Callithrix jacchus: one gene and its partners. The protein of the gene in region 1 purifies or fractionates together with the protein of each later gene. This does not show direct contact. Links are inferred from orthologs where the notes say so. Each region holds a gene or a part of one and is shown on either strand. Other genes may lie near its edges.

Region 1 (3,645 bases):
ATCGGATATTTAGTGTCATGGGATTTCCTGCAGGTAATTTATTTTCCTTTTTAAAGTCATATTTTGAGTCATACTTCAAAATCATTTCTTCTCATAAGCATATTTTAATGTATAGTTTTAAGCTAAAATAATTAGACTTTAAATTAACACATTTTTTTCTAAAATATTTCATTGTTTTTGTAAGACAAAGACTGGGAAGATATTAGAAAGATGCCAGAATATCCCACACTTCAAAAAGACTTTAGAAGAACAACGTGAGTAATTCCACATTATCTTAGTCTTTTTGTGCTGCTATAAAAAATACCTTAGGCTGTGTAATTTATAAACAACAGAAGTTTGTTTTTTCCCAGTTCTTAAGGCTGGGAAGTCCAAGATCAAGGCACCAGCATGTTTGGTATCTCTTGAGGGTTGTTTTCTGCTTCTAAGGTGGCTTCTTGTTGCTGTTTCCTCACGTGGTGGAAGGTCGAAGGGCAAAAAGGGGCAGATGCTGTGTGATGCCTCTTTTACAAGGCAATAATCCCACTCATGAAAGCAAAGCCCTCAATTTTGGAAGGACTCATCTTCTAATACTGTTAAATTGGGAATTAAGTTTCAACATGAATTTTGGAGGGGACATAAACATTAAAACCATAGTGCATGTTTGTTATAGGCAGGAATTTCAATGGGAATATTTAAATTAATCTTTTCAAAAAACAGATGTAGATTATTATTTAAACTAGAAACCAAGATTTTAGCATATTAATTATGCCTGTGATTTAAAGAAAATACTCCAGATACTGTTAACATATATATAGTTCAGGTTGAGGCTGCAGTATTAAAAACTTAAGAATTTAAGGATCAGTAGGTAGTTTATATCTGTTATGTTTTAGAATGAATAGAGGTCTCAATTCAAGGCCACAGCTGTGATTTCATCTTTATTTGAGTGATGGCTGGTGACTGACAGTCTGAACTAGGAAACCTGGAAGAACACATGCCTGGAATATGAGTAAAACAAACTGATGAAGGCATTTACTTTGAGCAAAAATGAGATTAAGGGTGATGGCAGGTGAGGAGTTTGTTATAAGTAGGCACCCCTGCGGAAAATGGTGGAGGAGGTTCTCTATGGGCAACTTACCAGGAAAATTTCAAGACACGATGGCTTATAGGAACAAAAGCAGACATCATAAAGAGAAGTAGAGAATGGCATTGATCATTTCTAGCCCCTTGTTCTCACAATCCTTGGTGGGGTTCTTTGCCTCTATCCATTTCTTAAGGATAGTGCTGATATCAGTGCTCTATCCTGGGCTCTCTTCTCACTCTAGAGATTTTCCCAGGCAGACTCCATGGTTTTGATGGCCACAATTTACCATCAATTATGTGGATAACTCCCATTATGTGTCTTACTCAGTTCAGTTCACTTTTCCAAGTTTCAAAATCATTTATCTAATTGCCTTGTGGAATTCCAAACTGAATGTTCTATAAATTCTTTAAATTAAACATCCAAAACCAAACTGGCTATTTTCATTTAACATTTTATTGTACCCTTGCCAGCAAGGTACAACCCATCAGGGTGGTGCCAGCAAGGGTACAATAAAATGGACATTCTGGCCAGGCACAGTGGCTCACTCACACCTGTAATCCCCACACTCTGAGAGGCTGAGGTGGAAGGATCCCTTGATCCCAGGAGTTTGATACCTGCCTGGGTAGCATAGTTAGATCCTATCTCTATTTTTATTTAAAAAAAATTATTACTCATATGCTACTGGTGAGGATGAGTACTTCTCAGACTTCATTGTACCTACGAATCACCTGGAGACCTTGTTAAAAATGTAGATTCTGAGTCAGAATCAGGGGTAAGGACTAAGAATCCTCATTTCTAATATAGGTTCTCAGGTGATGCTCAGATCGCTGGTAAGGGCTACATTTGTGTGGCGAGATTCTAGAGCACCTAAAAAGGGCTTTAAAATGTGCATGCCCTTTGACCTGATGATTCCTGGAATTTATCCTGTGGAAGTAATCAGAGTGGCCACAAATAGCTGAGTACTTATTATATACCAGGGTGGTGCTAAACACTTTACCTACATTTTTTCATATAATCTTCATAGCAAATCTATAGGGTAGGTATAATTACAATGTCCACTTTTCACATTCATAACCTAAGGCTTTGATAGAGGTGAACTAACTTGCACAAGATCACACAATTGGTAAATGACTGAGTCAGGGTCTAGTAGGGATCTGAGTCTCACCTGCTAGAATATCAGCTCCCTGCCATGCACATCAGGTTTAGCTACAAGGACTTGTATGCCATAGCTCTTAGAAACAAGTAATACCCGTACCAGTAGGAGATAGGCAGCCACTCAACAGTAAATTTGAAGAGTATTTGACAGGGCAGAATGTTTATGGAACAATATTAAAGAGAAAGCTAAGCCAATTTTTATAGTAGTATTCCAATTTTATGAAAAAAGCAAAACAATCTATGTTTATACCATGTATGTATAGGCGCACACACACACTCACACACACACACACACCACACCAAAGGGACATTATAAAAATTTTGTCAGTGGTTTCTTGTCACAGTGGCTTGTGAGTGATTCTAATTTTCTTCCTTATACTTTCTGTATTCTGTAATTCTTTTTATCATGAAACATGTTACCTATTTTTAGACCTTTTAATTTGAAATATTTCATATGTAGGAAAGAATATATAATGAAAAAAGACATAGTGTATTTAGAATAATAAAATGAATACCCTTTGCTCACCTCTGAACCTAAGAATTAGAGCATTACTAAGGTTACTGAAGTACCTGTATGCCCCACCTCCCTAGCCACATTCCTCCCAGAGGGTAGACTCTGAGTGTTCTGCATTTGGGTTTGTCATCCCACAATTTTTATGATAGTTCTAGTTCACATGTATGTATCTCTAAAAATTCCTCTTCAGTTTATTGTCCTTCGGCTTTTTATAAATGGTAACATAGTATGTACTTTCTTCTGCAACTTGCTCTTTCTCATCACTCAACCTTACATATTCATTTTTACTGTTGCGGAACATTCCATTCTGTGAGTATATAAAACTGTACCCATTCTTCAGTTAATGGTCATTTGGGTTATCTACATTTTTGTTTGTTTGTTAGTTTTTCTGCCATTACTAAAAGGCTGCTAAGAATATTCTTATCCATGTATCCTGATTTACATGTACAGAAGCATCTCTTAGGCTCAGCTATGTGCCTAGAAATGGAGTTGCTAGGTATAGGCTATACACATTTTCAACACTAATGCATAACTGTTTTCCAAAGGCATTGTATAAACTCTCATGTGTGTGTGACAGTTCCTACTTCTTCACACATTTGCTAATATTTGGCAATGTATTCCTCCTTAATTAGAAACAACAATGGCTTACACACATACCTTATAGGAAAACCCATCTTGAAGCTTATCATTAAAAAAATAGCAATTGGATGAGTGTTCCTAGTGATGTGTGACTGTGTGTGTCCTTGCAGGTATGCCAACAGTAGCCTCATAAAGTACATGGAGAAACACAAGGTCAAGCCTGACAGCAAAGTGTTCCTCTTGGTAGGTGCTTCTCTCCCAGACTGAAATCTGATCCTTGGTGCAACTCTTGCCTTCTCCAATTTACTTAGCTATTCCTCCTCTTTAGAAACTAAAG
Region 2 (4,252 bases), on another chromosome or scaffold:
TTACATTTATGGTGACAAGAATAACTTCTACTAGGAGGAGGGCTTTCATCACCCAAATGTTAGTTTGAAATTTTTTCTGAAGCGTACAATCAGACTAATTTACAAATGAGAGGCTATGCAACTTGCCTAGGTCACACAATTGAAAAAAAAAAAAAACCTAAATCCAGGTCAGCCCAACTTGGAAGCCCACACTTCCTCCATTAAATCAGCATTTCCCACCACACGTATCTCTAATGGATCACAACTGTTGTTTTAGTTACAGAGAAGAACTTTTAAAGTGTTAATAGTAATGGTCTCATTTTAATATGTATAATCATATACGTGTCTATGCATCTAATATCAAATGGATTTAAAATAGTATGTATACATGATTTGATATAAATTTGATGTATACATATATTGTAATAAAACCATGACTCCATGTGTATTATTGCCCAGGAAACACAGAGTTTCTTAAAACTTAAAGAAAACTTTAGAATAAAAGTACAGGTGGTACAGGGTAGAAATCTTGAGGGAAGTAGTACATAAATAACTAAAGCTTAGGCTACTCACCAACCACCCAAGAACAGCCAAGCACCTGTTCCACATTGTACCCAAATTTGGCTACAGCCACACATAACTCTGACTCTGCTTGAGAGAGATAAAACATTGGCTGCCTTGGAAAAGGGGATAACATCAGAACATAATAGCCCATAAATCATCCTCAAAGCAGTATTCATTTTGACATAAATACTGTTTTGGTGGTACAACTCCTCTGCTTATTCCCCCATAAACCTTGGTTAAACCAGTCAAGCTTCCCTAGGCCTGTTTCACTTCGTCCAAAGAAAGTTATAAAAAGTAGTCCCTAAGGTCGCTTCCAGTTTTACAACTCCATAAAATGTTGTAAGACCCTGAAATCCAAAATTACTCTTTCCAGAATCGCAGAGGCCCCAGTCCTGAAATGAGCGTTGGCCTGAAGAACAAATGCTAAATAAGCAAACACAGCATCCCAAGCCATCATGCTATCAATTATGCTGCCCTCTGGAAAGGCACAGTAACACATTAATTATGAGATGATAAAGATCAACGAAATATCCCTGTCCCTATCAAAACTTTAAGAATTTCCTCCCAATAATTTTTAAGTTATTAAGTTTACACTGATCCTCAGCCTCTCTAATATTTCCAGTCCTTAACCATTAACTTCATTCTAAATTGAGTTAGAAGGGTGGGGTAACAGGTGGGGGAAAAATCCGCGAAATCTTCTCAAACTCCTACCATCCTGTGAAGCTGGTGCTGGAAACTACCTGTAAAACCTTCCCAGCTTTCATCTGCATGACTCCACCGATACTCGAGTATATTTAGTGTGCTGAACCTCTAAAAGGAGGTGCTGTTCCTTACTTCTCAGACACGTTATAAGCAAGACAGTTTAGGCAGAACTAGCACTTTACTAATGAAACAGACACATTTATCAAAAGGAATTAAGGACCCCCTCCTTGCCTGGTTTACAAGGCCCCTTCTGTGCTATCAGTGAACGCACAATCTTTTAATGGAAGGTTTTTAGATTCTCAGAAAGATAAGTTTTGAAACGTGGTCAGTTCGCGTTTAGCTGAAGAAAACACAAGATGGGTGGGCTGCAGCTGGCAAACCCAAAAAGCACAGCTGGCTAGCAGGTGATCAGAAAAAAAAAGGCAAGTCCCTGGGCAAATGGTGTAGCCAAAGGTGATCATTATAACTGGAGACTTGTTACATAATTACTTAACTCCTGACAAACACAAACATAGCTACAAAATGCTGTGGTTACCCTAGCCATTGAAGCTAGTGTACCTGGTGCAAGAGTCAAGGTTTCTCCAATAAATTTCATTCAAAAAATAAGCAATCCTGGGAACTATTCCTTCCCAAGGTAACTTGCCTGTACATATACAAAACAGTCTCCAGCAATTAAGCCAATTGCCTCTAGGGATGAAAACCGGTGTTTCTCCTTAATTTTAATTTGTAAAGGGGAGAAGGGATACAGATGTATATTCCGAGAGCTAAGTGTTTATCACTTCGATAAAAACGACTTCCATTCCAAACCGGAAAATTTGAAAAGCTCCCCCCACCTTCGTCCCTGGCCAGCGGACGCAAAACCCAAGACCTCAGTGCAGGATGCACTGCATTCCCACATTTTTCAAAAAGTTTACGAGGATTTGCCGAAGCGGTAAGAAGAAAAATTAAGCAGGCAGAAGCGGGTGAGAGCCGGCAGGGATTCCGCAGGGAAGAAGCCGGAGAAGCGCCCGGTGGCGCCGTGCAAGGCCAGGCAACGCGAAAGCTACCGGCACACGGAGAGCGACTGCCCCATTGGAGCGCGAGGACTGACAGCCGCAAGATCTCCGCCGCCGGGGGGTCGCCCAGCCCCCCAGCCCGGCCCCCGTCTCTCATCCCCCTCCCCGACCTCTTCTCCTGCAGCGCCGGCGATGCCCGCTGGGCCAACTTGGCCCCGGGTCAGCGCTGCAGAGGGCGGCCCCGGTTGCCGAGGCCGCCGCCGGCGCCCTTACCTCCTTCTGCTTGGGGTCCTGTGGGTAGACGTCGGGCGGCCCGAGCCGGGGGCGCTTCAGTGGTCTCTGCTCATAGCTGAGAAGCCCGAAGGCGGCCATGATCTCTCATGTTAACCGGCGAAATGAATGAGAGTTGGAGCTGGAGCAGCCGCCTCTGAGCACCAGGGAGCAGCACTTTGCAGACAGACTCCCTCTCTCTCCCTCCTCGCTCGCCCGCTCGCTGTGGCGCTGCAGGCAGGAATAAAGCAGGTTGGATGCTGCCGCTGCCGGGCAGCAGACACGCACTGATGGGGACAGCCTCCGGCGGGCACTCGACTACGCTCGGGCCGGGGGACGCACCGCTCCCGCGGCGGCGGCGGAGGGGCTAGAGGTCGGCAAGGTCCTCCGCGGCGCCTACCTCCTGCGCTCCCCCACACCCAGTCCCCAGGGGGAGGAGCAGCTGATGGGAACGTGTGACTTTTTTCACCAATGGACCCAAACCCACCCCAGCTGGGCGCAGGATGGGATGGGGGTGGGGCACTGGGAAAAAAAATAAAAAAACTTTTCTTGGCGCCTAGGCTGGTGTCTCAAGTGCTCGCCCAAGGCGAGGGTGGCCCTCCTCCCCTGAGGAGCGGACCGCCCCCGCCTCTCTTACCCGGCAGAGACCCTTCCCCCGCCGCCACGCGCCCCGCAGACTCCGCCACCTGGGCGCGGACCCGGCCGGTGCAGAGGGAGGGAGACCTGGAGGGGGCGCGAGACCCAGGGATGCTGCCGGTGGGAAGCGGCCGGTGCCTCCTAGACGCCCGCCAGGCTCCGGTGGCGCATCCGCGGCTCCGGTCCCCTCGGCGGCTTCGGGCAGGCGCCGAGGCGCGCTGCTGGCGGTCGCGGCGGCTGGAGGGGGCCGTGCTCACGGTGGCGCGGGGCCGACTTAACCCTTTACTGTCCCTCCAGGGGCTGAGGAAGGGGGTGAGGCGCGATGTCTGTGAGCGCCGACGGGGGCAGCCAGCTCGCAGGCGTCTCGGGCTCCTCCAGCCCGCAGCCTCTCCCCGGCCCCAGCTCCTCTTCCCGTCCACCCCCCACCCCCCACCCCCAACAGTTTACCTGTTGGTCCGCGGCTAGCGGGCAGGGGCTGGCGGCGGCGGGGTCACTCCGGCCGCTGCAGCCTCCATTATTCGGGTTAGAATGGGGAATTGGATTTGATTTTATTTGTGAGGTATCTGCCTCGCCCGGACGAGCTCCGGGGACGCCGCGAAGTTTGCCACTGTCTGGGGGCGGCGAGCGACGCCGGCTCAGCGCCGGCGTTCTCGCCCCCACGGCCGGGGAGCGCGAGCTTCCGAGTTGGCGGACGGCGGCGCGGCGTCCGTACTGAGCATGCCCAGCTCGGCGGCCGGACCGCGGAGGAGTTGGCTGCGAGCGCGGTGAGCGCGCTCCAATCCGCCTCTCCGGGTTTTCGCAGCCGCAGAGCGCGCAGCCCGCGGGCTCCGGCGCCGAGGCTGGCCCTGGGGTGAACCAGGGCGAAGGCGGGAGCGCCCTCAGGAGCCCCGCTCCAGGCCCCCAGCTGCGCCTTCCGCCTCGACCTCCTCAGAGGTCGCTGTCCCGGTGGCCTGAGCCGAAAACCTCACCTGCGCCGAGAGCGTGGAAGGGGCGGGGGTTGGGGGCGATGATCTTCCAGGGCAGACCTTGGTCATCCAACCCACCCTCGCTCCTCGCTCGCTTCGGGGTGCGGGCACCAAGATGCTGAGCCACCTGCCGCGAGCTCT
Region 3 (4,261 bases), on another chromosome or scaffold:
TGCCACTGCACTCCAGCCTGGGTGAGAGAGCGACACTTCATCTCAAAAAAGAAAGAAAGAAGGAAGGAAGGAAGGAAAAAGAAAGAAAGAAGAAAGGAAGGAAGGAAGGAAGGAAGGAAGGAAGGAAGGAAGGAAGGAAGGAAGGAAGGAAGGAGAGAGGCCGTCGCGGTGGCTCACGCCTATAATCCCAGCACTTTGGGAGGCCAAGGCTGGTGGATCACAAGGTCAAGAGATCGAGACCATCCTGGTCAACGTGGTGAAACCCCGTCTCTACTAAAAATACAAAAATTAGCTGGGCATGGCGCCTGCGCCTGTAGTCCCAGCTACTCGGGAGGCTGAGGCAGGAGAATGGCTTGAACCGAGGAGATGGAGGTTGCGGTGAGCCGAGATCGCGCCATTGCATTCCAGCCTGGGTAACAAGAGTGAAACTCTGTCAGAAAGAAAGGAAGGAAGGAAGGAAGGAAGGAAGGAAGGAAGGAAGGAAGGAAGGAAGGAAGGAAGGAAGGAAGGAAGGAAGGAAAAGGAAGGAAGGAAGGAAAAGGAAGGAAGGAAGGAGAAAGAAAGAAGGAAAGAAAGAGAAAGAAAGTTTTGAAACTAAAAAAATGAGAAAAGAAGCCGGCGCGGTGGCTCACGCCTGTAATTCCAGCACTTTGGGAGGCCAAGGCGGGCGGATCACGAGGTCAGAAGATAGAGGCCAATATAGTGAAACTCCGTCTCCACTAAAAACACAAAAATCAGCTTGGTGTGGTGGCACACACCTATAATCCTAGCTACTCGGGAAGCTTAGGGAGGATAAGCGCTTGAATCCAGGAGGCAGAGGGAGATTGCAGTGAGTCGAGATCGCACCACTGGACTCCATTCTAGCAACACAGCGAGATTCCGTCTCAAAAAAAAAAAAAAAAAAAGAAGGAAAGAAAGGGGAATTAATTGTGCTAGGCTGTCTTTGAATGTCATGTTACAATGCGCCACTAGCTTTCTTAGGACATAATTATTGCATCTAGTATCTCACGGAAAACATACATTCCTGATACCAATAGCCTTTGAAAAGATAGTCTTTCAGTAGAGAGATCTGGAGATTTTAATTTGCGAGTTGTTTAACTGCTCAAATTAAAAAAGAAAATGCTGGTTTCCGCAGGGGAGCTGTAAGTTACTGGCCCGCAGTTTTAACAACCAGCAGCGTCAGGCCTGAGACAGCCCAGAGCAAAGACAGGACTAGCTTGAAAGAAATCTCGCGAGGCCCACGCATTGACCAATATTCGCGAGATTTCGATGCCCTGTCCTCTTCCTCCCTCTGGCAGGACCACGGTTTATCTCGCGAATTTTGGGAAGTTCCGTTGGGGAAGATGGCGGCGGCCTCGAGCACCCTTCTCTTCTTGTCGCCGGGGACTTCAGACTGATCCTTCCCGGGAAGAGTAGGGACTGCTGGTGCCCTGCGTCTCGGGATCCCGGGCCAACTTGTTTTCCCCGTTAGTGGCGGGGAAGGGCTTATCCCTTTGTGGCAGATCCAGGCTCTCCCCGCCTTCAGGATGAAAGCTCAGGGGGAAACCGAGGGTAAGTGACCGAGGGGGAAAGGAGGGGGCGGGACACAATTTGGGGAGCCGGTTTGTGAGAGGAGGTTCCTGCCAATGTCCGATAGGGGCCACTTTACGGGCATAGAGTCCAGGAGAGGGAATGTTTATGAGTTTTAGATTCTCACTATACCTTCCTTGGTGAATATAGAGCTCCGACTTTGGGGTGATGGGGACTCTCAACTTCTGTGAAGATTTCCTGATCGACTAGGGACAGTCGGTTGGGCCTCAGGGCACTTTTGGCTTAAAGTGGTGGGAGACCGGGCCAGTGAATACAAAACCAGCTTACATCTCGTTCCAGAAGAGACGTCTGAGTAAATACAGGGCTGTGGGTAAACGTACTGGAGGATATTTTGGCATAAATGAAATGATTAGGTCCTTATATTTATTAGCAGCCAGCAGTTCCCTACAATGTCAAGTGTTCAGATCCCGTGCTATTGTGTGTTTTTAAACTGCACTGAATTTCATTTTTTTTTCCCTTTCTTTTATTGACTGAACTAAGAACTGCAGAAAAACAAACTTTTCTGTGGAACTTTACTAAGATTCTCTAAAGTTCCACACTCCAGTATAGATGCTTCCTTAGCATTTTGGGCATAGTTCTGTTGATACAGTGAGCTGTATTATTGTTTGTTTATCTTTTTCAATTTACTCTGAGCTTTGCAGATTAGGGACCTTGCCTGATTAATTTTTGTATAGTTTCTGGCACGTAATAGTTGCTCAAAAAATAAGCGTTGACGTAAATAGTCGCTCAAAAAATGTCTGAGCATTGAAGTAAAGTTACCTATCAGCAGGTTTCTCAAGGACAACAAGAAGTATGTTTTGGAGGAGAGGTCAAAAGGTGGGGCCGGGTGCAGTGACTCACATCTGTAATCCCAGAACTTTAGGAGGCTGAGGCTGGAGGATCCCTTGAGCCCAGAAGTTAGAGACCAGCCTGGGCAACATAGTGAGACCCTCTCTCTACAAAAACATAAAAAAATTGGCTGGGCGTGAGGGCCTGTAATCCCAGCACTTTGGGAGGCCAAGGCAGGTGGATCACCTGAGGTCAGGAATTCAAGACCAGCCTGGCCAATATGGTGAAACGCCATCTCTACTAAAAATACAATATTAGCTGGTCATGGTGGCTTGTCTGTAATCTCAGCTACTTGAGAGGCTGAGGCAGGAAAATCACTCAAACCCAGGAGGTGGAGGTTGCATTGAGTCAAGATTTTGCCACTGCACTTCAGTCTGGGCAATGAAAGTGAAACTTCATTTCAAAAATAAATAAATAAATAAATAAATAAATAAAAAATTAGGGCCAGGCAGTGGTTCAAGCCTGTAATCCCAGCATTTTGGGAGGCCGAAGCAGGAGGGTCACTTGAGCCCATGAGTTGGAGACCAGCCTGGACAACATGGCAAAACCCTGTTTCTACAACAGATACAAAAATTAGCTGAGCGTGGTGACACAAGCCAGTAGTCTAGCTACTTGGGAGGCTGCGGTAGGCAGATTACCTGAATCCTGTAGGTCAAGACTCCGGTGAGCCAGGATTATGTTATTGCACTCCAACCTGGGTGACAGAGTGAGACCCTGTCTCAAAAAAAAAAGGAAAATTAGCTATAGTGCCAGCTACTCTGAAGGCTGAGCTGGGAGGATCACTTCATCCTGGACCTTGGGAGATCGAGGCTGCAATAGGCTATGATTGTGCCAGTAGTGCACTCAAGCCTTAGCTACTGAGTAAGACTGTCCTTTTTTTTTTTTTTTTTTGAGACAGTTTCACTCTTGTTGCCCAGGCTGGAGTGCAATGATGTAATCTCAGTTTCCTGCAACCTCTGCCTCCTGGGTTCAAGTGATTCTTCTTAGCCTCCCAAGTAGCTGGGATTAGAGGCATGCACCACCACACTTGATAATTTTATATTTTTAGTAGAGAAGGGGCTTCCAAAGTGCCAGGATTACAGGCGTGAGCCACTTAGCAGAGCCTGGCTATTTTTTTCTTTTAAAGTGGTGGGATCTTGTTACGTTGCCCCAGCTGTAGTTGAACTCCCCAGCTCAAGTATTCTTCCACATTGGCCTCCCAAAGTGCTAGCTAGGATTATAGGTGTGAGCCACAATGTCTGGCTTCCCCAGCACTTTTTTTTTAATTGAGATGGAGTGTCACTCTGTCACCCAGGCTGGAGTGCAGTGCTGTGATCTTGGCTCACTGCAACCTCCACCTCCGGATTCAAGCGATTCTCCTGCCTCAGTCTCCTGAGTAGCTGGGTTTACAGGCGCCCACCACCATGCCCGGCTAATTTTTATATTGTTAGTAGAGATGGGGTTTCACCATGTTGGCCAGGCTGGTCTAGATCTCCTGACCTAAGGTGATCCACCTGCCTTAGCCTCCCAAAATGCTGTGATTACAGATGTTAGCCACCATACCCAGCCCTCCCCAGCGCTTTTAATAGTGTTTGAGGCCAGGCATGGTGGCTCACACCTGTAATCCCAAAACGGGGAGGCTGAGGTGGGTGGATCACCTGAGTTCAGGAGTTGGAGACCAGCCTGTCCAACATGGTGAAATCTCGTGTTTACTAAAAATACAAAATTAGCTGGGTGTGGCAAGGTGCATGCCTGTAATCCCAGCTACTCCAGAGGCTGAGGCAGGAGATTCAGTTGAACCTGAGAGGTGGCGGTTTCCTTGAGCCAAGATCACGCCATTGCACTCCAACCTGGACAAGAAACA

What was found. Proteins that work in one complex are often made in the same cells at the same time.
Region 2: the proteins of CDK19 (region 1) and MED12L purify together in Homo sapiens (affinity purification with mass spectrometry; 3 studies listed by BioGRID and IntAct, counting the BioPlex papers as one, with this or other methods). This does not show direct contact. The link is inferred for Callithrix jacchus from reciprocal best matches to the Homo sapiens genes CDK19 and MED12L.
Region 3: the proteins of CDK19 (region 1) and MED1 purify together in Homo sapiens (affinity purification with mass spectrometry; 7 studies listed by BioGRID and IntAct, counting the BioPlex papers as one, with this or other methods). This does not show direct contact. The link is inferred for Callithrix jacchus from reciprocal best matches to the Homo sapiens genes CDK19 and MED1.

Annotation. Positions count from the first base shown.
Region 1 is NC_133505.1:116,796,282-116,799,926, reverse strand, and holds part of CDK19 (cyclin-dependent kinase 19), read left to right. Parts: coding exon 1-33; intron 34-184; coding exon 185-254; intron 255-3,478; coding exon 3,479-3,551; intron 3,552-3,645.
Region 2 is NC_133518.1:34,162,780-34,167,031, forward strand, and holds the start of MED12L (mediator of RNA polymerase II transcription subunit 12-like protein), read right to left. Parts: upstream 2,939-4,252; 5' UTR 2,613-2,938; coding exon 2,514-2,612; intron 1-2,513. UniProt on the Homo sapiens protein: May be a component of the Mediator complex, a coactivator involved in the regulated transcription of nearly all RNA polymerase II-dependent genes.
Region 3 is NC_133506.1:119,910,713-119,914,973, reverse strand, and holds the start of MED1 (mediator of RNA polymerase II transcription subunit 1), read left to right. Parts: upstream 1-1,323; 5' UTR 1,324-1,526; coding exon 1,527-1,551; intron 1,552-4,261. UniProt on the Homo sapiens protein: Component of the Mediator complex, a coactivator involved in the regulated transcription of nearly all RNA polymerase II-dependent genes.